Zea mays: one gene and its partners. Each later gene encodes a partner of the first gene's protein in a complex. Links are inferred from orthologs where the notes say so. Each region holds a gene or a part of one and is shown in the gene's direction. Other genes may lie near its edges. The genes, in order: NAD(P)H-quinone oxidoreductase subunit S, chloroplastic-like; NAD(P)H-quinone oxidoreductase subunit M, chloroplastic; photosynthetic NDH subunit of lumenal location 1, chloroplastic; NAD(P)H-quinone oxidoreductase subunit O, chloroplastic; Photosynthetic NDH subunit of lumenal location 4, chloroplastic; NAD(P)H-quinone oxidoreductase subunit N, chloroplastic; NAD(P)H-quinone oxidoreductase subunit T, chloroplastic.

Region 1 (2,921 bases):
TTCTATTCACCTAAAAAGACAACCGCTGCAAATTCACTTTTCTATGGAGTTGTCGAGCAGAGCACACAGCACAAGCAAACCCCCATGCCATCGCAAACGCCATAGCCACATGCCATAAATTACATAACATAAACCTAAGGATAAAAACTATATAATTTATAAATAAAATTTAATTTATAGACGGGAAAGGAGGAAATGATCCGCGTCAACCATATGAAGGATTAGAATATGGAAGGGAGAGAAGGAAGGGGAGGGACAGACACTGGCTTAGACTGTGTTCACCGCTTACCGCCGGAAGGCCCCCTCCCCTACGATAGCGGCTACAGGAGCACCCTAAAACGTTCAATGGTTAACTCTATCAAGCACCCTACGCTGCCGTTCCCCCTAGCAAGTTTCTTTCTCCCCCTCATTCTGTCGTGCATCTCTCACCCCCTCTAACACTGTTTACGTGGGCCTACTTCCAATTATTAGTAAATGAAAAATTGATAGGAGATAAAAAGAAGGTATAAAAAATGATATTTTATGGTTGTAGTGGGGTGTAGGGGAAAAATTTAGGGGGAACCGCTGTACAGGGTTAAGATATAGGGGGAAAGAGAACGCTGACGTGACACGTGAGTGAGATATAGGGGGCCAAATTTAGGGGTAACCGCTGAAGACAGTCTTAGAGAGGACAAAGTGGAAATTGAGCGGAGCCGGAGCTGCCACGAACAGTGACTTGTCGAGAAAGATGAGATGGTGAGAGAGCTGAAGCGCAGGCGTAGCGAGCGATACTATTATCGCGACCATGACGTAAGCTACGGATTTGTATATGAAAGTGAGTATGTATACAGAAGATAGCAATGATACATCGTCTCGTCCTAAAAGCTGTCGTCGTAAACGCAAAAACATTGACTAGTCATAAAATAAACGAGCCACATTAAACTTTGCGGAAAAGGGAAAATATAAATACGCACATAGCATTTCACATCCTCATTTTGTGTGAATATATTTAATAGTTTTTCTTCTATTTCAATGCACGAGTACATTTACCAGTATTTTATTTATTTAATATAATTATTATTGGTTTACTAAGTAGTTTTTAAAGAGCTCTCGAAGATGCTTTAATTATTTTAAATTAAAATAACCTGTTTCAGTCTCTCCAATACAGAGTTCGATATGCATGTGTAAATATGATCGGAAAACCTTTTTTCTCATGTAGGAGCTAGTTTGAAAAACTTATTTTTTTTCCAAAAATTTATTTTCTCAAATAAAATTAGTTTATTTTTAATCTAATCTAATAATAAAGTTTCCATACTAACCCTAATAATAAAAAACAGGACAGAAAAACTTCTGTCGGTTACGTCAACCCCCTCGATTCAGGTTCAGTACCGCCACACACAACATAGCGGCAGGGCCACGTGGCGCTGACGCCTCATCCCCTCTCCGTTTTCCACCGCCACTCATCCACAACTTTTTTCTTTTTCACTCTGTACAAACTCATCCACAGCTTCCCGACTTTGTCTGTTCTGCTTCGCTCGCGGGCGCTCATCTCCACTCCTCCGATGGCGCCGCCACCCACCAGCCCCTCATTCCTCCGCCCGCCGCCGCTGCCACACCACCCGCACCCTCGCCTCCTTTTGCGACCTCCCTCCGCCTCTTTCCGCGTCGCCGAAATACTCGGCGGTCGGGGCCTCTGCAATGGTGAGGTCGGCGTCCGCAAAGAACTCGCATCCGGCTCCACCACCTCCTCGCCCGCGCCCTCTCCTCCTCCTTCGACAGATTCTCCTCCGCCCGCGGTTGATCCGGACGCGTTCGAGAAGGAGATGATGGGCCTCACAGGCGGCTTCCCTGGCGGTGAGGTCGGCCTCAAGGACTTCGTAGCCAAGAACCCGCCTCCTCCCAAGAAATCAGAATCCCAGCCCCAAGCCACGCTCTCCGCGCCGCCGCGGCCGCCGGAGCTGCCGCTGTTCTTGCCCGGCATGGTGGTGCTGGTCAAGAACCCCAACAACGCCTACCACATGTACTGCGGTATCGTGCAGCGCGTCAGCGACGGCAAGGTCGCGGTGCTCTTCGAGGGAGGAGTGTGGGACAGGCTCATCACCTTCAACCTCGACGAGCTCGAGGGCAGGGAGAAGGGACCCCCTATGGCCAACCCCAAGTCCGTGGTGCTAGAGGATCTTGTCGCGGAGCTCGAGGATGACGATGATGATAAGGAGGACGAAGCGGCCAAGAAGAAGGAACCGGAGGGCGCGGCGGCGGCGGCGACATGACCAGGCTTCTTGTTCCTGTTATACACATCCTCTGTATGTATGCATGTATACAGCTCAAATAAAATATTTGGAGCTAATTAAAAAGGAACGATAATATAACTCTTATTATGAAGTATATAGTTTGAATGTTAGTGTGAATTGGGGCATGGAAGAATTGCCATACGTTTGATCACATTTGACCTGGATGGCTTCTCTTGGATTATTAACTTCTAATTATGATAACAATGAGGATGCCACAAGACTTTCAGTTCTCTGAGATCTGTATGTTATGGCCATATTATGCACTTAAAATTTTGTAGCTGTAATGGTTATCAAGTAGGATTAGGATGCCAATTTAGCTAGAACATGTTTTCTTGCATGAAACTGGTTAGAGCAGATCAAATTGTCAATTTAGCCACTATGTCGCCGTGTTGTTAAATCATTACTTTTCATTCGGTTTTAACTGGCATCAAGGTTTATCTTCAGTGTTCTTTTGCTTCGATTGTTGATCACTTGAGCACTTCTGGAACTGAGTTACAGAAGGCAGGATGGTATGGATCTGGTTAACAAGTCTACAATGTGTATGTTTGGTTTATATGAAGAGGATTTGTGCTAAAGTTTCTTATCCGATGCTTAACCACTCGATGCAAAGATGTGTCGGTCTGAGCCATATAATGGAAAGATGTTCATTTT
Region 2 (3,118 bases), on another chromosome or scaffold:
CTGCCTCTTGGCCTGGACGAGAAGTGTCGTTGTTTCACCGATCAAACCTTGTTTTCCGACAAAACACGGCTGCGTTGACTCTCCGCCGCAAAACCTCTATGGATTTCCACGAGAAGGATGCGCGCAGCTATGACGCGCATGGCCCTGCTCCCGCCCTCCCCCTCGTCCGCCTGAACCACGTCTCGTTCCAGTGCGAGTCCGTGGAAGCATCGGTCGGCTTCTACCAGCGCGTGCTTGGCTTCGAGCTCGTCAAACGCCCGGCGTCCCTCGACTTCGGAGGAGCATGGTGAGCAGCCATTTCGCACTACATATATACCACTGCCTAGCTAGTGCCTGTTTCTTGTCCATCGATTTATTATTATTATTATTATTATTATTATTATTATTATTATTATTATTATTATTATTATTATTATTATTATTATTATTATTATTATTATTATTATTATTATTATTATTATTATTATTATTTTCGCCAAGGTGAGGTCAACTCGTTGCGTGCTTTCCAGGATGCACAGGTACGGCATGGGGATATATCTACTGCAGCGCGGCTCGGATTCGTCGCCCAACGCTCCGGCAGCTGCAAGACCGCCGGCGATCAACCCCAAGGGCAACCACATTTCCTTTCAGGTGACCACCAGAGCGCTCTCGCAGAATTAAGAAACTGGATAGGCAGCCAAATTTAGTCCAATCCAAGCAGAGAGGATCCTTGCTCTCGCGCAGAGTTGACCTGCTTAGTTAGTACGAGTACTTAGTAGTAGCAGTAACCAGTAAGCACCCGCTGATCGGGTGTGCTCGTTTGGCAATGGCGTGCAGTGCACGGACATGGGGCTCATGAAGACGAGGCTGGGTGACATGGAGCTGGAGTTCGTGGCGGCGCGGGTGTGAGACGGCGAGACGGTGGTGGAGCAGCTCTTCTTCCGCGACCCAGACGGCAATGTGGTCGAGGTCTGCGACTGCGAGAAGCTCCCCGTGATACCCCTCGCAGATGCAGGCAGCACCGGCCTTCTTCCAAATACGCTGCTGCTGCCGGTGGAAACGAACTTGCATGGCTAGTTCGTGGTGCTTGCTCATTGGTTGCTTAGCACGATTATTTGATTCGTGTGATTAGATTTGTGAGCTGTAACAATACTGTAATAACAGGCAGTTCTGCACGCTATTGTACATATGTTGCAAGTGTCCGTACGTAGTGTAATGTGTATGTACAGGTTCGGAGATTGCCGGGTTAGGCGTCTTCCAAGCTGAATTTACGTAGTGTTGTGCGTAATGCTTGTGCAATGGCGATGAAAGCTGGTGCTCTTCAGTACTCTGTGCGAGACTGACGACAAACCGCGTACCCCGAAATCGCAAGGCAACCGCCGCACCAGCGTTCAGAGCCCAATGAGTCTGGAAGCCTGCTTGGCCCAATGGTGCGCTGTGCAAAAGTGCAAACCGAAACCGAAGTCAGTGGCAGAAACGGCCCTTATCCACACACACAAAAAAGTACGCGACACAAGCCACGCTCTCCGCTTGTGGCTAAGCTGCTGCACGCGCGGAACGACAAAAATCCAGCACTAGCCAAAGCACAGGCGAAGAAGCAGGCGAGAGGCCACCACAAACATGGCGACCACGGCGTTTCTACCCCCGGCCAAGCTGCCGCTGCAGGGGCGTCGGTTCGCTAGCCCCAAAACGGCGGGACGTATCAGCGTCAGGGTCCCTCCGGCGCGAGCGCAGCAAGAGCAGCAGGTGAAGGAGGAGGAGGCCGAGGTGGCGAGCGTGCCGCCGCCACAGGACGCGGAGAAGCAGGCGAGGAAGGGGGACGCGCAGTCCCTGCCGCGGCAGCCTTTGGCGGAGAGCAAGAACATGAGCCGCGAGTACGGCGGGCAGTGGCTGAGCAGCACCACGCGGCACGTCCGCATCTACGCTGCGTACATCGACCCGGTGACCAACGCGTTCGACCAGACGCAGATGGACAAGCTGACGCTCATGCTCGACCCCCAGGACGAGTTCGCCTGGACCGACGAGGCCTGCCAGATGGTCTTCAACGAGTTCCAGGACCTCGTCGATCACTACGAGGTAACCTCTGTAGTTGCTCCCACTCCAACAGCTCCGATAGTAGATAAAAAAAATTTGAATTGAATCTCTTGTTGTCTGAAATTCGTACGGTCATTTCCCCCCTTTTCATCTACTTTAGAGCCACTCCTGCCAAAAAAATAAAACATACGGTCTTGGCAAAAGAAGTGATCGGTAAGAGGATAGCTGAGCTCGTTTCTGCTTTGAAACAGGGGGCTGAGCTGTCGGAGTACACACTTCGGTTGATCGGGTCAGACCTTGAGCACTACATCCGCAAACTGCTGTACGACGGGGTGATCAAGTACAACATGAGGTCCAGAGTCCTCAATTTCAGCATGGGCAAGCCTCGCATCAAGTTCAACAGCAACCAGATACCAGAAAAGATATAGAATGTACTTATCCAACGCCCTTAAAAGAATGGTTTCTCTCCATTCGATTACCGAGCAAGATGTATACTCTGCAGTCCCAGATACGATCCAGAGCATTCCAGAATTCATATTACGCAGATGCAAAGCCATACACCGATTCTGTTGGCAGAATTTTGTCACCCCTGCACAGTAATAACCACATAACGAGAGTCTGGGCAAAATAAGGGTTTGCTCGAGTTTAGATACCCCTTCTGTTTCTAGGGCACTCGAATTGGGTTACAGTACACAATACCATAGTTTCTGCTAATAGATACGTATCACCGAATACCACATGAGGTCAGAGAGTTGCACAGAGACGACCGCGCTAACTTACCAAACGACTTTCTGAACTGGATGGAGTAATGGCTAGTATGGGTAAACCCTCTACAAACATTCCATGACAACTCGGTACTTTTTAAATTCATCGCTCCATGGTCTGAATTGGTCTTCTAGCTCAATGTTCTACAGAAGCATAAAGATACAGTAAGGGCTAGTTTGGGAACCTCAATTTTCTAAGGGATTTCTATTTTTCCATGGGAAAATGAACTAATTTCCCTTGGAAAAATAGAAATCCCTTAGGAAATTGGGTTCCCAAACTAGCCCTAAATAATTAAAATTAGGGAACACCACCATGCTATGCTGCTGCTGAGTACTTCGTC
Region 3 (3,784 bases), on another chromosome or scaffold:
TGGCCACGCTCGCACGGAGGAGGATGCAAGAAAGGGACGAGGCCAGGAACCAGGCGAGGATGCTGCTCGCGGACCTCCAGGCAAGGAACGCCCGGATGAAGGCGGCGGTTCCCGGAGCATCGTGCTCCAGAGTCGCGCGGCCTGACGCGTTCGCCGCCACCGGCTACGAGCACATCCAGGCCCAGGCCCAGGCCCAGGCCCAGGCACTCGCTCCTGCCGCGTTCGGGCCGCGGGGGCAGCGTGCCCGTGCGGGAACTGGCTACTACTGCGTTGCGTCGTCCAGCGGCTTCGGCCACAGGAGCATCGACTCGTCTCTGGACACCTGCGCCGTTCAGCCGTCGCTGCTTGGCTTCGCTTCCTCGAGCTCGAGCCAGGAGCATTTCGACCCTGACATGTTCTTGGTGGACGTCGCAGAATCGCCGCAGGATGTCGTTCCGGTTCCGGCCACCGCAGACTCAAGCCAGGGGAGAAGCTCCGGCTCCGGCTCCGGCACTTATGGTCATAGTTTGGCGAGCAAAAGGCCTTGCAGTGAAAGGAAGTAATAAATCATCAGCTCAAGCTGCAGCACGTCCTGCCACGGGCCATGGCCATGCTGCCTAAATCCTAGGCCGGTGCCATGTTAGTGCTTGCTCGGTAAAACTTATAAGATTATTGATGTGTTGTGGATTTGAATGGCGCCTAGTGTCTTTTACTGTGTTTGGTTTAAGGTCAACATGGGATGAGGCGCCCCTCGATTTTTTAGCATCACGCCGCCACCAAAAACTACTCTGGTGTTTACCTCGTTCGTACGTGACTCTCATTCAAACACTATTGAAACTATTTAATTAACTATCAATTAACTAAGGAAAAATCAACCAATTAGTTAAGAAAGGAAACTAACAAACAACTATCAATTAGTTAAAAAAGGGAACTAATTGATCAACTATCAATTAGCTAAGAAAAAACTAATAAATCAACTAAGGAAAAAAACAAATAAACCTAGCTGCATTATGCAACAGGCTTACTAGCATTGAATAATTGTGGCCGTTGTTGTATATCGCTTATCATGGTGTCATGAAATTATGTAACCTGGAAATTTTGTTTTTTTGGCATAAAAATCACTGTATTCAGAACAGTTCGTCTTGGGTCATCAACGACCTACCCACCAGAAGGGCTGTTTGCCTGTTGAGAGGGACGCCCATTTTTGTCAGCCAGTGCTCTGTCCAAGACAAAGAAGCAAGAGTGCTGAAATGAGAGGATAATGAGCATGCTGACTTGGCTGCCTTGGCTTCCACCCACACACTCGATAGGGGAAAAGCGAGCCCTTCCACGGTTCCACCACCCACTCGATAGTGGAAAAGTGAGCTCGAGCGTGTCCAGCAGCTATGGATAACTGACGATGGGGGTAACAAGCTTCACAGAACTCTCCCTCGAGCTCAGCGCTACCCTGAACAACTGAAGCCGAAATGGCGAGCCTGCAGAACCTGGTCTGCTCCGTATCCAAACAAGTACGTGCTCAAGCCCCTTCCTCACTGTTTTTTTCTGGAATTCATTTACTTTCCCTGCAGTTCTGAGGAGTAATAACAGCTTGAACCCGTTGCTTGTTTCCAGCTGGCTGTGCCAAATTGCGCGGCGACTACCAAACTGAACAGGGCTCCTCCCTCAGCTGTGGCGGCGAGCTCGATCCAAGGATCTTTGGACGACACCAGTAACCCCCCCTTTTGTTGTTGTTGTTGTTTTTTTTCCGTTCATGCATCTAGTGGTCGACAGAATCCTGGTTCATAACATCTCTCCGCTTGTATAGAGGTCACGAAGAGACGGCTAGCTTTGCTTGGTGCTGGAGCGTTAGCCACTGGCCTACTGAGGACAAGCTCTGCTGCGTTCGCTGAAGGTAACGATCATCCCTATATAGATGGCCTGGCATTGTATCTATCAGGATCGGACTAGGACGGTGTCCTCGAGCAGCGTTTTTTTTGCGTTTCTTACCTGTTTGACACTGATCGGAGCTGTTCAGAGGTGCCGAAGAATTACAAGTCGTACGTGGACGCGAAAGACGGGTACTCGTACCTTTATCCAGCTGAATGGAGGGTAGGTTGGCGCCATGCGATCGATTCTTGAACAGTTAAGAACTGTAGGGTGATTTTCATGGTGCCTTCGTTCCCTTGTCCCTGGATAGGATTTCGACTTCTTGGGTCATGATTCTGCGTTCAAAGACCGCAACCTGGCCCTTCAGTGTGTTCGTGTGGGGTTCATTCCTACCGAGAAAACAGACATCCGCGACCTAGGACCGATGGATGAGGTGGGGGTTTTGTTTCCTTCTTTCGACTATGTATTCTTCTTCTTTTTTATGGAAAAACTATGTGTTCTTCACTTTGATTAGGCACAAAAGATAAAACACATACTCTCTCCTCCGTTTAAATTATATACGTTTTAGCTCTGATAATCACTTTTGCTGATGTGATGAATATGTTTTTTTTTCCACATTACACCAGGCCATCTTCAACCTGGTAAACAACGTCTACGCTGCCCCGAACCAAATACCGTCGATCTACGACATGCAAGAGGTCTGTCATCTGTTCATCGCTTTATGCATGCAATTATCATTTGTTTGGAGTTGCCAAATCTAGTTGGATAACTCTGAGCAAAAAAATAAAAAAAATGGTGCTAGTGAAATAAGCGGCCTATCCTACTATTTTTGCAGCGCACCGTGGACGGCAAGAACTACTGGACGTTTGAGTACGATCTGGAGGCTCCGGGCTACGGCGTTTCTGCGTTTGCGACGGTCGCCATTGGAAACGGTATGATACCTATGAACGGGAAACGTTCATGTGTTTCGCTTCGCGTTGAAATAGAGAGAGATGAAACTCTGTTTGTTTGTTTGTTTTTTGCTCTAACTAGGTCGGTACTACACGCTGATCGTGACCGCGAACGAGCGCCGGTGGAGCAGGCTGCGGAACAGGCTCAAAGTCGTCGCGGACTCCTTCAAGATCTCGGACCTGACGGCGTGATCGCTTGCTTCTGTGACGGCCTCATGAGCATGGTGCGGCAACTTGTTTAGCGAAAGATGGGGGGGGGGGGGGGGGGGGGGGGGGGGGGAATGTGGTTGCATTGCTGTCGGTTCGTGGCTCCCAAAATTACACGCTCCGTGAACATGTCGGTGCAACACTAATATTACAGAGGCGAGAGACACCACAAGCACGAGCCTCTGAAAGAATGTTTCAGCTCATATATTACAACAATTACAATGCCCTCCAAACTTGCTAACTATTTCCAGAATTACTTGGATCTGCAAGCTATTTTTTTTATTTTTTTGTCAAGAAGACCAGGTCGGCTTACTCGGAACAGCAACAGGGCGGCAACTCCCAGCATTTTTCATGTGCCGAAAAGGGCCCCTGACTGAGTGGCCGCACAAGGAAACCTGATCATCCCCTAGGATAATTTACACCTAAACAAACTCAAAAGAATAATTACATTAGCCGATGCTGGCGAAGGCCCTTGCCAAAATGGGGTTGCATCAATCTAACATATAGACCGTTCTGGTCCATCAGAGAGTCATGTGTGCCCTGCTCAACTATCCTACCGCCATTCAAGACGACGATGTTATCAACATGCTTCATCATTGCCGCCCTGTGCGCAATGAGAATCGTTGTCTTGTTACCCATGACCAGAGTGTCTAGAGCTTCTTGCACCACTCTACTCGATTCAGACTCGATCGCAGAGCTGGCCTCGTCCAACAGCAATATAGGTGCGTTCTTCAAAACCACCCTAGCGATGGCAATCCGTTGCTTCTGTCCAGGTGTCAGAT
Region 4 (2,985 bases), on another chromosome or scaffold:
TATAGAGTGGTGATAAATGCATGCAATTCAAAATTAGATGGAGAGTACAGGCAAAGGCGATTCACGATATGGTGGCTCATAACTGGCTGAGGTACTTATCAGCAATCCCGCGTGCGGCGTGGAAGTTAAAATTTACTAGATCGGAGGGCACAGCCAGAGGGACATTTGAGAGTTACCAAGTCGAGGGACACACAGCACGCAGACATGAGAGCGAGACAGGGATATTCTTGCACAGAGGAATGGAAATGGAACAGACATAGGACGAGTATTCGAGCAGTAAATAAAAGCAAGGGCGACGCACTTGTCGGACGTCTCGGTGCGGTACGTGCGGTCGCCGAGAGAGAGGCACGCGAAGAACTTGTCCTTGAACTGCATATCCGCCTGCGCCCGGAAACCGAACAGGAGGATCAACCATGGCGAGTCAAAGTCAGAGTCAGAGAGGCAGAGACAGTGATGCGATACGAATCGAAACCCACGGATTCCGCCTCGGCTGGCCGCGTCGAAGCGGGGAGCGAGACTCGGTGCTAAGGAACATGCGCGTAGCAGCGGAGTTCGCAGCGCGCGGCCCACGTACCTTGGCTATCCGGACGCGTGCGATGCCGGCGAACTCGTCGGCGGCGAGGGCCTTGGAGGAGACCGAGTCGTCGCCGGCGCCGCGGCGCAGGCGGTTGCGCAGGCGGCGGCGGAACCGCGCGAAGCGCGAGGGCAGCGCCTCGCCGGCGCCGGCGCAGGCAGTGGGCCGCGACGCCGAGTGGCCCATCCGGACAGGTTGGTGGGGACTGGGGACGAAGACGGACGGGACGGCGCGGCGCGGCGCGGCGCGCCTTTTGCGGGACGGTGGTGGGCGCGGCGTCAGACAGACAGACAGACGCCTAGGCAGATGGTGGTTGGAAATGGGCCAAAAGTAGAGTCCCTTTTGAATCCAGGCCAACCGCCTGCCTGCCTGCCTGCCCGCGCACGCCGGTTCGTCGCCCGGCCGCGGGCCCCATCGCCACTTTGATAACTCGGTGGACCCACACGTCAGAGGGGTTTTGGAAGGTGTGTAAGGATGGAAGTCAAACCTGTGTTGATGGCGCTGGTGGGACCGGACAAGGAAGATCCACCTGCGTGCGCTGCGCACTGGGGGGGCGCCTGCCTGGCTCTTGGATCCACCCATTTCCCATCGTCGTCTTCTTTTTCTGAATGGGAATCTCCACTTCTTGGTGGTGGCAGGTCATGACAGCAGCCAAAGTAGATGATGATTCCCCCCCCCCCCTCTCTCTCTCTTGCGCTTGCAATGGGAAGCAAATGGCCAACCAATAGCAAAAAGGCAGCCGTGTATCGATCGCCTTATCCGGGTCCTGTGGCACTGGCACACCGCGCGTCCGGATTTGGCTGAGTAGCTGACTAGCTGAGCGAGCAATCCATCCCTTCGCCCGCCGCACCATGGAAGCCCTCGCCTCGGCGCCTCGGGCGCTCTTCCCGCGCGCGTGCCCAGTGGCGACGCCGGCCGGCCCAGCCCGGCGCCGCTCCGCCGCTCCTCACATCTGCAGGGCCTCCGCGGCGGCCGGGGAGGAGACGACGCCGCCGCCGCCGCCGGCGGCCGCTCCCAAGAAGATCCTCAAGAAGAAGCCCGTCTACTCGAGTAAGACGACGACAAGACCCCCCCCCCCCCCCCCCCCACCCCCCCCTACTTCTCCCTCTAGCTCTCGCGCGCGCGGCCATGCATGCATGATGAAACTGGCTGAGCTTTGCAGTGAAGAAAGGGCAGATTGTGCGCGTGGACAAGGAGAAGTACCTGAACAGCATCAATTATCTGTCAGTGGGACACCCGCCCTTCTACAAGGGGCTGGACTACATATACCAAGACCGCGGCGAGGTCTTGGATATCAGGAACTTCGAAACAGGAGAATACGCCCTGGTAATGAAAACTACTTCCATCCGCGCATGCTGTGTTCAGAGTTTCGTCATGCTTTCTGCCTCCACCATACATGTTCAGAGTTTCAGACCAACGCGCGCGTGCATGCATTTCAGATCGCTTGGGTGGGGATCCCGACGCCACCGGCATGGCTACCAACCTACATGCTCATCAAGGTAGCTGATTCATCCCCAGTTGGATCAATCTGTACGTCATGCACCACTCGTCTCACCTCGCTCTCGCTCTCTGTCTCTGTGGCATGTGATTTGTTGCATTGCAGTCGGACAAGCTCGACTACGAGAGGATATGATGGCCGGCCGGCGGCCTCGCAGGGCACCGTAGCGCCGCCGCCGAATTCATGCTTCATTTCGCATCAGGAGTCGGCCAAGCAGGACACACCTCTTGTTGTTGACTTGTTGTAGGTATATACGTACATGCCAGTATTGCCAGAACAGTCGACAGAGGCAATCTGAGACCTCAGCTGCTGGAATAATCAGGAAGTAGATCGAGAGCGACGTACGATGACGAGATTCATAATTGCTGCTGCACATCACTTCTTTATGTTATTTAAACTCACATTTCATAATTAATACTAATAATATATTGTCTCCGTTCTTGAATATTTGTCTCGTCGATAGTTTATTTTCGAATAAAAAACGACAAAATAAAAAAATGATAGTGTACCGATTATGAAGCAGCCACAAACAAAGGTTTATAATATACCTTTCCAGCATTTATATTATGGGTCAAAGTGTATCATCACGCACACGCCTCTGTCTACACTCCGCAGCTAGCCACTGCTGAAATAAACAATGTACAATTAGTCAGGGAGGGAAACAAGGTTGAGCCATCTTTAGATAATCTCTAAGACCGTGTCAACCAACTCCCCTATCTCATCTCATATCACATCCCTTATTTCAGACTTTACTCTATAAACAATGATAAATATTGTTATTTACAGTATCATGTCCTCTATTTTAGGGGATCCACTGAAGACAGTCTAAGTTAGTGTTTAGAATGGCTCGATGCCAAGAAACGACTTTGTTCGAAAAAAATAGGGAGTTGGATGGTTCAAGATTTGATCATAT
Region 5 (3,399 bases), about 170 Mb from region 1:
TCCGAAATTTTCACTTCTACGGTGCCGAGATTAAAAGATGATTGCACCTGACAGCTGAAAGCTGCACCCCCAAAAAAATTGGTGTAGATTTTTCCCATCAGCTGTTATCTTAACCAGGTCCTATATTGTACTTTTGGTTGGCATTAGGCAAAGTGGTTCACTTTTTGTATTGCGTTGTGTCGTTATATCATCAAAACGTGAGGAAAAAAAAAAGATGCTGGTGGCCGCAGCTAGCGACGTAAATTATAGGATGGTGACGAGTGTGTGTATCCACTGTCAAATCCTAAATATCTTTCTTGAGCCTTATAATTTATCTAAAAAAAGTTTTTTAATACCCAAACTTGTTTGTTCTTCTAAATAGTTACTAGACTTTTGGCAATCCATATTATCTTCCTCTTTGGAACAATAATAGATGCACTAAGATCGTGTCTAGCAGTTACTCACATGGTTATCCAAAACACTGTTATGCACAGTAGATTGCACTATCTGTGGAGTGAAATTTGAATACGGAGATGAAGATGGATAAGCTATTAGAGATATTCTAATAAATTTTGTCTTTATACCATAGTATACTTTGCAAGTAAATAATAAGAATCAAATTTAATAGAAGGTGTACCTTTATTCTTGTTCTTGCAGTACTGCTATAAGTACATAACTTGCTTGCATTAGTACATAACTTGCTTGCATTTTGACCGGAACCCATCATTATCCTTCACAAAAGTAGTTTTGCGACTTATAAAGGTCACCTCGATATTCTTATGGTGTAAACTAATCCCGTTTTATTGAGAGAAAACCTTTGACCATCAAGCATTTTAGGCCTAGTTTAGATACTCTTGGAAGAGGGGGTTGAAGTGCATTGAAATGTATCCAATCAAAACAGACAACACTTGCCATGTCATCGATCACGACCTGCCACGTCAAACGGGGTCGCATATCAGCGTATTTGTCCGCGGCAGGGAGATTTACACGGTCATACGGGTTGGTTTTAGAAACAAAATTACTCTGATGTTAATTTTTAGAAATTGATTTAGAAAATGATTAAAATAAGAAAACTACGTGGGCTGTAGACTGTCCCGAAACTTGCGGCTCGGCCCGGTAAAACCACGGGCCTGCTGCTGCAGTGGCCGGCTGAAACATCCAGAGCCCATGCTGCCTCCGCGCGACGAATTTCGGGGCGTCATTATAAAGACCCGAGCCTGCGCGCCTTGCAGCCACAGTCTGGGGATAATAATCCACACTCCACAAGCAGCCATGGCGCCACCCATCACGTCCCTGTCGTCTCTGATGGCGTCCAGCCCAATCCCGACGCCGCCGCCGCCGCTCCCGAAGACCAGCGGCAGAGCGCTCTCCGTCGCGCCCTGCGGCTCCGCGTCGTCCTCGTCGCCGTCCACTTCCTCGACTCCTCATCCGGTGGCGGCGTCGGCGTCGGCGGGCAGGAGGGGGCTGCTGGCGCTGGGCGCCGGGTTCCTGGCCTCGGCCGCGCTGCTGTCCCCGGCGGGCGACGCCGGCGCCACGCGCATCGAGTACTACGCGACGGTCGGGGACAAGATGTGCGACCTGAGCCTCGTCAAGTCCGGCCTCGCGTACTGCGACGTCGAGGTCGGCACCGGCGTCCAGCCCCCGCGCGGCGAGCTCATCAATGTCAGTACCGAGACCACCGTCTCTTCTTTCCTGCATGCCTTGCGCCTTCCTCTGACTTAACCTACTCTGTAATAGTACAGTGGTCCATTTCCCTTCTGCACGAGTAACTCAGCAACATATGCCGCCATCCTGTTCTGCGTTCTGTGTGCTGCTTGCTTCGGATCCTAATTATATTCGTCCTCTCGATGGTCATCAGGTGCACTACACCGCGAGATTTCCCGACGGTACGCTGTTCGACAGCAGCTACAAGCGCGGGAGGCCACTGACGATGCGCATAGGCGCAGGCAAGGTGTGCATGTATAAGCATCCATTGTCGCTCACTGAAAACGACGTTCAGTTTTCATGCCAGTAAAAAATGATGGTCTGTTTCTTTCGCGTTCTCCGCGTGCAGATCCTCCGAGGGCTTGAACAGGGGATCAGTGGCGGCGGCGGTGTGCCGCCCATGCTTGTTGGTACGGACAGGAACTTGAGCAGTTTTTAGCTGTGCATTAAATATAGAGGCTTTGCTAATTTGGCTTGCTGTTCCATGACTGATGACTCCGTTGCAAACCTGCCTCAGGTGGAAAGCGCAAGCTGATGATACCTGCGTCACTGGCGTACGGGCCTGAACCGGCAGGCTGCTTCTCAGGTCGATTTTCAGAACTGCGCTAAATGACTTCGTACACCATAGATAAGCAAACTGCTCTCGCTCTAGAATTGTCAAGGAGACTGCTTCTCTAGTTTTTTCTTTTGTTTTTCTTTTTTTGACAGGAGACTGCAACATCCCCGGAAACTCCACACTTCTATATGACCTTTTCCTCGTCGGGATCTACAAGTGAGCCCTCGATGACAGGGAATGTTCAGAACCTAAGAGCAGAGACAAGGTCTGTCTGATATGTGTGCCGTGCACAGCGTTATTCTGAACTCGCCTGGTTTTCTGTGACTCACGTCCTTCTTTCCAGAGTAACCGATCGTTTTCGTGTGTCACACATGGAGGGTTTCAGGAGGAATTCTTGGCGGTGAAAGCACCTGCAGAGGCAGAGCCACTTGCAGAAGCTTCTGTACTCCAGAGAGCTACCTGGATTGAATAAAATGATGATATATATAAACCATCCTTGTTACGTAATAACGCCATTGTGGAACTTTGTAAAGACCAATCATATTGTTGACTATATAGCAGTTTGATACAGCCAAAGCGAGCAAGTTATCGGAGGTGTATGTCACATGCGCCACCAGCTTTGCTTGCACAGCCGATACGGAATCGTGAATTTGTTTGTGTCAGTCAGACTGTCAGCGTGACTGGCGAATGGCGTCAAACCCTTCAGCATTCGATCAATCATGCCGACTAAACACTCACGATTCGGATGTGCAGAGAGGTCTCGCGCTCGTGCCTGACACATGTGTGCCCGTAGTAGCTTGGAGCAAAAATTCTCATCGACCGGTTCAGACGGTGCCCGCCTCTGCTGTCTGCCTGAATTGGGGAGGCTGCTGAAGCAACAAAGGCGAAGCTAAACCACTGGCACCATTTCCATGGGTTGTGAAGACGTAGATTTGCAGAAGCGAAAGCGTAAGATAGGACCAAGCCGCATTAGCCGTTGGAGCGCCACATCGGGATCGGGAAACTATTTTGCTTGTGAGAGAGTATCACTGTCACATCACTGGGATGGTTGGGCTTGGGTTATAGGTACTAAAAAAAGTTCCAGTGCAATTTGACCTCACCTCTTTGGCTCTATGTCATTGGTGGTTCCTGGGAGCGCCGAGAGCTGTTTCCTCGGGCCT
Region 6 (3,393 bases), on another chromosome or scaffold:
GTATTGATGTTCATCTAATATACATCTTTTCTAACTGTAGATTGGATTTTTGTCGGTGATTTTGGTGCCGCACTGCAGATTAAGAGAGAAATTTCGGTATGCATGTTATTATGAAACATTTCTAGTATTATTACTTATCCTCCATATTGTCATCATAAAACTAGTTTTATCTTGTGAGTTGTGATCTAATCTAGTGATTTAGCTTTTATAATGTTGCTCCACCTATAATTTTATCCTGCGTTCGCCACTGGTCTCCACGACCGTCCTGTCATGCGCGCCATCTTTTTCCTCTTATGTTGTCACCACCGCGAACTTCCTCTATAGCCTTGCCTAGTGGCGGATAAGGAACAAACTAAAAGAGGATTGTTTTTCTAGTGACCAGTGTCCGATGCAACAGAAGCTAGTCATTTAGAACATAAACACGGTCTTCAAAATATAGCTTTGACCAATATTTTTGTAAATACAAATAAACTCTTAATATATTTATACTTTTGTAAAAGTGATTTTTAAGATATATATATATGTATATATATATTAGATTTCAAAACTATTATTTATAGTCAAAGTTTTATATGTTTCACTCAAACCTTGTCTAAAACGACATCTTTTTCAGGACCGGAGGGAGTACACAATTGGTGAATGGAAAAAATATCGTTTGAATTTTTTCTCATTAATATGGCTGGAAAAAAATAGATGATGAGATATAGATGATAAAATTTAGAGGTTGCTGCTGCTGAAGGCATGAAAAATATACATGATAGAATCTTTTAAATGGTGATGTGAAAGACTAGAAATATTATCTTAGTGGATAAAATTTTGGAACCCTGCTGGGACAGACTAAGCACGACCATCCCAACAAATGATGCACAACATCCATCTTTCTTTAAAAAAAGCAAAAAGAGCGCGTGACCTACTTTACTAACTGTTTAATTTAAAAGGTTTTTTAAGCTGGTGTCCTCAAATCGTTATATGCCTAAATATTTATTTAAGTTCTTTATATTTTAATTTTTCAAATAACTTCTGAAGTCAACGTGATCCACACCGAAATTTTACTCCCTCCGTTCTAAAACAAATGCATTTACGTGGGTTTCCAGTTGATGACATTCTTTTGGGACAGTTTAGACTTTGGAAACACAAATCACCTTCAGAATTGGCGGGTCTGAATAAACTAAAGTTTCTAAAATAGGCCTTAACAGGATTAATGATCTATGTAACTTTTAATGCATTTTAATATTTTGTTTGGATCTAAAGAAAATTCACGTATCCGTACTGTGTGCGATCTCTGAGTAGAATCTGAATACAGATTGGTAAGTGGTAACACATGTACTCTGCTCTTTCAGTCTTGGGCAGTTCGGCTGACAGACCAACCTACGGCCTGGATTGGAGACTTATCCGCGACCCCTCCTCCCCACTTCAGCTTCAGCGCAAGCCATCTTCCCGCCACAGGCTCAAAAGCAATCAAGCGACTCCTCCCACAGTCCCACTTCCACTCCCACCCACCCACACGCACGGCCGCAGGCAGCAGCACCATGTGGTCGGCAGCAACGGCGGCGGCGGCGCGCGCGGTGTCCGTGTCCCCAGTCCCGGCGCCTTCGCTCCTCAGCGGCCGGCGCGGCGGGTCGCGGGGCGGCCGGGGGTCGGTGTCGGTGCGCAGCACGGTGTGGGACTTCGTGGGCGGCGACCTGGTGCGGCCGGACCTGGGCAAGTGGCTGGACGACGTGGAGAAGCACAAGGCGCTGGCCATCTACCCGCCGCACGAGGGCGGCTACGAGGGCCGCTACCTGAACCGCCTCCGTTACCAGGGCTACTACTTCCTCGACCTCTCCGCGCGGGGGCTCGGCGACCCGGAGACCACGCTCACCAAGGTCCACCCCGTCTGCCCGGTACGTAGCACGCCTTTAGTTTCTTGGGAACGTATCTCGTGCTCACGCGACGTCCGTGCTCATGTGAGCACTTTAAATCGTGAGTGTTCCTTCTTAATCTAACGATCATGCTGCTGGCCAGGAACACTCATCGTTAAGGTGAGAGGACTTAAGTGAATAAAAAGCACTAATCGTTGGATTAAGAAAGAACACTCACGATTTAAAGTGCTCACATGAGCACGGACATCACGTGAGCACGACATACGTTCCCTTCTCTCTTTCTTTGCTTGTTGTTGCTGCTGTGGCTGTGCCGTGTCCTTTCGTCGCGTGCGGGAACCGAGCGGTCGATCGACGAACTGACTCGATTGGAGTGGCGGTGCGGTGACTGCAGCCTAGCCTCGGCAGGCAGCCGGTGGCGCGGTGGTACTTCCCGCCGGAGGTGGACTACAGGCTCAGCCTGCTGCACCCGGACGCCAAAGGCCTCGTCGTCTGGATCATCGAAGCCAAGGTGAGGTGCCTGCTTACATCTACATGCACGCGCCTCCATCGATCGGCACACCACTGACGAGTGCTCTGTTCCTGAACCTCTTCTTCGGGCCTCTCGTCTGGTCTACGTGCAGGTTCTGTCCAAGGCTGAGCTGCAGTTCCTGGCCATGCTCCCGGACATCCGCCCCAAAGTCAGGGTGATCGCAGAATGCGGCAACTGGTACATGCGCTTCCTTCTACCTCCCTCCATGTCTAAATTTCCCACACGGGACCACTTGTGGCTAAGGCCTGATTACGTACGTGTGGCCCTGTTGCACGCGTGCAGGAGAAGCTTTGTTTGGAAGCCACTGAAGCAGATCGCAGGCCTCGAGCCGGACCCGGACGCGGAGGAATGATCAAGCAAGCAGGTCTAGCTAGTTGTCTACCAGACTGGCTACTGCTACTGCTACACTCTCCAATTGCTTCTGGGACATCTCTCCCTGCCATTCCTGCAGCTTTGCACTGAATGAGAGAGGCAATTAATAAAGATATACATACATTTTTTTGGCACGAGTGTCAGAAGAGAAAGAATGCGAACCATGTACAGATTTCCATACATGTGAATAGTTCACGGCCGCGACGCGTTTAGGATTCTCAGAACCCAGGCGCACAGCCGAACACGAGAGCGCAGGCACACGAGATCACTGTCCTCGTCTCCATCGCGTTGTGGATCGGCGACATCATTGCCACCTTGGTCAATGAGCTTGCATTCTTCCTTCACCATTGATGCTCAGGTAAGCTGAATTAAAGAGCGCGCTGAAAAGGGTCCACATTTCGATATTCTTGACGTGTGAGTTGGACACGAAAGAATGGATCGCTTCCGCACGAGTAGAGCGAGGAAGTGCTTTCCCCTCACACAGAAGCAACGAACATAAGATGAATGAATTAACCCAAAAAAAAAACGCATATCAGAAACTAGAACACCACATGTGGATGGGAGGTAAAGAAGTTTCTTCGAGGAGCCTTCTTCAGATTCTTCCCCTATCTTCTAATTTTCTATCCAAAA
Region 7 (2,944 bases), on another chromosome or scaffold:
CCCAATCCAGGAACCTCCCCTCTTGGCCACGTCTGTATGTCTAGTGTCGTCATATGCCATGCCATGTGACCACTCCGGGCCCAGATGCGCCATGCGCCATATACCCGAACCCCCTAGCCCACACACGCCCGTGAAACCGCGAGGGTCGGCTCTGATACCACTTGTAACACCCCGTCCAATCCCTGGACCGGCGGTACTTACTCCTGGCAGCTCTCTAGGATCATATATTGTCCCCACATACCAACACAAGTCTTTTGTGCGCACTTTGTCCTCACTCATGCGCACCCGAGAAAACTTCCCGGTCGGTCACCCATCCCAAATTGCTCCAAGCCAAGCACGCTTAACTTGGAGGTTCTTTCAAGATATGCTTCCGAAAAAGAATATGCACCTTGTTGGTATGATTACACTATTAATTCTATTAAGCCTTGGGCCAGGACATCCCATCCCAGGGGCCAGGATATCACAATTTGTTCGGTTATTTTCAATCTATAGATTGGAAGAGATTGATACGTATTGAGAGAGATTTTGACTTACTAAGGATTGAAACCCTTTAATCACCTTCAATTTATATGGATTGGCATAGAAGGGAAGACCCCTCTCCCTCCCTTTCAACTACACTAGTTACCAATGGCACAAATCTCGTAGCATCTGCAGTGGCTACCAATGGCACAAATCATGTCTTGTATCGGGCGACAAAACCGCTAGTCACAAGAGTGCTGAGGCCAAAGCTGAGAGACTGGAGACGGCAGTAACGAAGATCCAAGCATTGTTGCCGTTTCAAGAAGACCTCTCCCTGATGATACCGTGGAACGCAAACCTGATGCGCGTTATCATGGGAGGCGACACCCAAAATCCTGAATTACAAAAACATTATTAATTTAATCACAGTTAAAAATTACAACAAGGGGATGTAGCTCAAATGGTAGAGCGCTCGCTTTGCATGCGAGAGGTACGGGGTTCGATCCCCCGCATCTCCAAACTGTTTTTTACCCCCCTTGTTTTATTTTTTTTACCTCTTCTCCCTCATTGTCACTTGGTCAGTACTCAGTACTACTCAGGATAACTGTGCGGACGAATTCGATTGCGTACCGTCTAAACTGACAGCGCAAGTGTTCGTGCGGCGGGAAAATTTCTGCAGTTTCATTTCTCGTTCGGAATATGGTTACCGTTCCTTTTTCTTTTTGTACATGTGGCCATTGGCTAAGTGAACAGCGACACCTCATCGCCTCGCCCTCCTACCACGACAACTGGAACGTGCGAGCCTCATCACCTCCCGACTCCCCTCCACGCCTTGGAATGCTGCCTGCGCAGACGCTAACACACACGTTTCCCATGGCAGCGTCCACGGCCTCGCGCATCTTCACGCCCTTCCTCCACCGGCACCAGCGGCGCACGAAGGCAGTCGTGGTCGCAGCCGCGAGCCCGCCCGACGCCGAACCGACTCCTGCGACGGCGGACGGTGCAGGGCCGGGGAAGAAGAAGACGGTGGACACCAGGATACACTGGTCCAACCCCGACGAAGGGTGGGTAGGAGGCAAGGCCAAGAAGGAAGGCGACGGCCGCGGCAGCAGCAAGAACGAGCCGTTGGGAGGGAGGTTCGCGGACCTCATCAACAACGCGGCCGAGTCTCACTACCAGTTGAGTTCATCTCCAATCCATGCTCATATGTCCTTTTGGATTGCCGTCCAGCTGTACATAAATTTGTAGAGCTCTGTTCGAGACACTGTCATCATCATGTCAATACTTTGTTACTAACGGCGACACATGACTGAACTGCAAAATCTATCACCCAGGTTCCTTGGCATAGCGCCAGAGGCGGACATCGAGGAGATCAAGACGGCGTACCGGCGGCTGTCCAAGGAGTACCACCCGGACACGACGACGCTGCCGCTCAAGGTGGCGTCGCAGAAGTTCATCCGCCTGCGAGAGGTGTACAACGTGCTGAGCAAGGAGGAGACACGGCGGTTCTACGACTGGACACTGGCGCAGGAGGCCGAGAGCCGCCGCCTGCAGCAGCTCAGGTCCAGGCTCGAGGACCCATACGAGCAGGACATCATCAACTACAAACCCGTGCCAGACATGGTTGACCGCCTCGGCGGCAAGAACATGAAGCTTAGCGATCAGGCCATGACTGCGCTCACCATCGATATCGTTATCATCATCATCTCCATCTGCTGCATCATCTATGCTGTTTTCTTCAAGGAGCAGTACTGACAGCAGCATACCAGCAACAGCAGCAAGGTTGCAGGAGTGTACCATAGACAGAACATTATAGGTAAATTAACTGATAATGCCCTAAGATTGTCTTTTGGGATGTTATCATGCACTGCATCATGTAATGTCCAATAGAATAAGGTAGGAACGACGATTATTCATGGTTTGTTGCCAACAATCCTATATTTGCATAATCAAATCATAATTCCAGTATAAATCTGTGACATCATAATTTATTGCGTCAAATCAAAAGACAATCTGAAAAGAGGGCAAAATTCCCTAACAAGATATCTTGTGCTCTTGCTGTACTCTACTTGGAACTTGGTTAAATAAGTGAGATGGAACTGGAGGTAATCTCCCATGCGATACATGAAACTACAGCATGGGTTGTAGGTATCAATCATCTAATGCCTAACCTTCACACTCAATGATCTTGACAACAGAAGAATCACCAATCTTTTCAAAGATTATCAACCTGTCGAAAGGCTTCACTATGCCAACCGACCGACCATAGCTCATCGCAAGTTTTATCCCATACTCTTCCTTTGTTAGCCCACCAGTTTCGGCCTATTACAGAGTTTTAAGCATTCATGGTTAGCCATATGTTTTTTTACATGTAACTCTAATGTTAGGGAAAAATACAATTGCTTACATACCTCATCAGTACTCCCCATCAAAGGGTACACGCCTCTCACTGCGAAACATTGTCTTGCCTGAAAGTGGTTTAATA

What was found.
Region 2: NAD(P)H-quinone oxidoreductase subunit S, chloroplastic-like (region 1) and NAD(P)H-quinone oxidoreductase subunit M, chloroplastic share a complex: the UniProt entries of both Arabidopsis thaliana proteins name them as parts of the chloroplast NDH complex. The link is inferred for Zea mays from reciprocal best matches to the Arabidopsis thaliana genes NdhS and NdhM.
Region 3: NAD(P)H-quinone oxidoreductase subunit S, chloroplastic-like (region 1) and photosynthetic NDH subunit of lumenal location 1, chloroplastic share a complex: the UniProt entries of both Arabidopsis thaliana proteins name them as parts of the chloroplast NDH complex. The link is inferred for Zea mays from reciprocal best matches to the Arabidopsis thaliana genes NdhS and PnsL1.
Region 4: NAD(P)H-quinone oxidoreductase subunit S, chloroplastic-like (region 1) and NAD(P)H-quinone oxidoreductase subunit O, chloroplastic share a complex: the UniProt entries of both Arabidopsis thaliana proteins name them as parts of the chloroplast NDH complex. The link is inferred for Zea mays from reciprocal best matches to the Arabidopsis thaliana genes NdhS and NdhO.
Region 5: NAD(P)H-quinone oxidoreductase subunit S, chloroplastic-like (region 1) and Photosynthetic NDH subunit of lumenal location 4, chloroplastic share a complex: the UniProt entries of both Arabidopsis thaliana proteins name them as parts of the chloroplast NDH complex. The link is inferred for Zea mays from reciprocal best matches to the Arabidopsis thaliana genes NdhS and PnsL4.
Region 6: NAD(P)H-quinone oxidoreductase subunit S, chloroplastic-like (region 1) and NAD(P)H-quinone oxidoreductase subunit N, chloroplastic share a complex: the UniProt entries of both Arabidopsis thaliana proteins name them as parts of the chloroplast NDH complex. The link is inferred for Zea mays from reciprocal best matches to the Arabidopsis thaliana genes NdhS and NdhN.
Region 7: NAD(P)H-quinone oxidoreductase subunit S, chloroplastic-like (region 1) and NAD(P)H-quinone oxidoreductase subunit T, chloroplastic share a complex: the UniProt entries of both Arabidopsis thaliana proteins name them as parts of the chloroplast NDH complex. The link is inferred for Zea mays from reciprocal best matches to the Arabidopsis thaliana genes NdhS and NdhT.

The regions. Positions count from the first base shown.
Region 1 is NC_050100.1:42,420,301-42,423,221, forward strand, and holds NAD(P)H-quinone oxidoreductase subunit S, chloroplastic-like, read left to right. Parts: upstream 1-1,500; 5' UTR 1,501-1,541; coding exon 1,542-2,249; 3' UTR 2,250-2,421; downstream 2,422-2,921. UniProt on the Arabidopsis thaliana protein: NDH shuttles electrons from NAD(P)H:plastoquinone, via FMN and iron-sulfur (Fe-S) centers, to quinones in the photosynthetic chain and possibly in a chloroplast respiratory chain.
Region 2 is NC_050097.1:23,630,826-23,633,943, reverse strand, and holds NAD(P)H-quinone oxidoreductase subunit M, chloroplastic, read left to right. Parts: upstream 1-1,431; 5' UTR 1,432-1,599; coding exon 1,600-2,055; intron 2,056-2,264; coding exon 2,265-2,441; 3' UTR 2,442-2,618; downstream 2,619-3,118. Other genes in the region: uncharacterized protein, read left to right, coding at 99-286, 510-630, 817-888; uncharacterized LOC100502247, read right to left, coding at 2,844-2,921. UniProt on the Arabidopsis thaliana protein: NDH shuttles electrons from NAD(P)H:plastoquinone, via FMN and iron-sulfur (Fe-S) centers, to quinones in the photosynthetic chain and possibly in a chloroplast respiratory chain.
Region 3 is NC_050096.1:42,029,634-42,033,417, forward strand, and holds photosynthetic NDH subunit of lumenal location 1, chloroplastic, read left to right. Parts: upstream 1-1,261; 5' UTR 1,262-1,445; coding exon 1,446-1,487; intron 1,488-1,566; coding exon 1,567-1,687; intron 1,688-1,783; coding exon 1,784-1,870; intron 1,871-1,993; coding exon 1,994-2,067; intron 2,068-2,155; coding exon 2,156-2,278; intron 2,279-2,471; coding exon 2,472-2,543; intron 2,544-2,680; coding exon 2,681-2,777; intron 2,778-2,877; coding exon 2,878-2,987; 3' UTR 2,988-3,284; downstream 3,285-3,784. Other genes in the region: ABC transporter B family member 20, read right to left, coding at 3,447-3,784. UniProt on the Arabidopsis thaliana protein: NDH shuttles electrons from NAD(P)H:plastoquinone, via FMN and iron-sulfur (Fe-S) centers, to quinones in the photosynthetic chain and possibly in a chloroplast respiratory chain.
Region 4 is NC_050103.1:163,552,443-163,555,427, reverse strand, and holds NAD(P)H-quinone oxidoreductase subunit O, chloroplastic, read left to right. Parts: upstream 1-1,273; 5' UTR 1,274-1,425; coding exon 1,426-1,624; intron 1,625-1,736; coding exon 1,737-1,900; intron 1,901-2,013; coding exon 2,014-2,073; intron 2,074-2,177; coding exon 2,178-2,207; 3' UTR 2,208-2,485; downstream 2,486-2,985. Other genes in the region: Phosphatidylserine decarboxylase proenzyme 2, read right to left, coding at 302-381, 575-760. UniProt on the Arabidopsis thaliana protein: NDH shuttles electrons from NAD(P)H:plastoquinone, via FMN and iron-sulfur (Fe-S) centers, to quinones in the photosynthetic chain and possibly in a chloroplast respiratory chain.
Region 5 is NC_050100.1:216,381,329-216,384,727, forward strand, and holds Photosynthetic NDH subunit of lumenal location 4, chloroplastic, read left to right. Parts: upstream 1-1,232; 5' UTR 1,233-1,251; coding exon 1,252-1,641; intron 1,642-1,837; coding exon 1,838-1,930; intron 1,931-2,032; coding exon 2,033-2,093; intron 2,094-2,200; coding exon 2,201-2,269; intron 2,270-2,391; coding exon 2,392-2,459; 3' UTR 2,460-2,504; intron 2,505-2,582; exon of another isoform or gene 2,583-2,624; 3' UTR 2,625-2,899; downstream 2,900-3,399. UniProt on the Arabidopsis thaliana protein: NDH shuttles electrons from NAD(P)H:plastoquinone, via FMN and iron-sulfur (Fe-S) centers, to quinones in the photosynthetic chain and possibly in a chloroplast respiratory chain.
Region 6 is NC_050098.1:176,087,645-176,091,037, forward strand, and holds NAD(P)H-quinone oxidoreductase subunit N, chloroplastic, read left to right. Parts: upstream 1-1,462; 5' UTR 1,463-1,529; coding exon 1,530-1,883; intron 1,884-2,253; coding exon 2,254-2,370; intron 2,371-2,482; coding exon 2,483-2,568; intron 2,569-2,673; coding exon 2,674-2,743; 3' UTR 2,744-2,893; downstream 2,894-3,393. UniProt on the Arabidopsis thaliana protein: NDH shuttles electrons from NAD(P)H:plastoquinone, via FMN and iron-sulfur (Fe-S) centers, to quinones in the photosynthetic chain and possibly in a chloroplast respiratory chain.
Region 7 is NC_050099.1:14,035,998-14,038,941, forward strand, and holds NAD(P)H-quinone oxidoreductase subunit T, chloroplastic, read left to right. Parts: upstream 1-1,185; 5' UTR 1,186-1,296; coding exon 1,297-1,637; intron 1,638-1,793; coding exon 1,794-2,214; 3' UTR 2,215-2,444; downstream 2,445-2,944. Other genes in the region: Pyruvate kinase 1, cytosolic, read right to left, coding at 2,626-2,781, 2,871-2,927. UniProt on the Arabidopsis thaliana protein: NDH shuttles electrons from NAD(P)H:plastoquinone, via FMN and iron-sulfur (Fe-S) centers, to quinones in the photosynthetic chain and possibly in a chloroplast respiratory chain.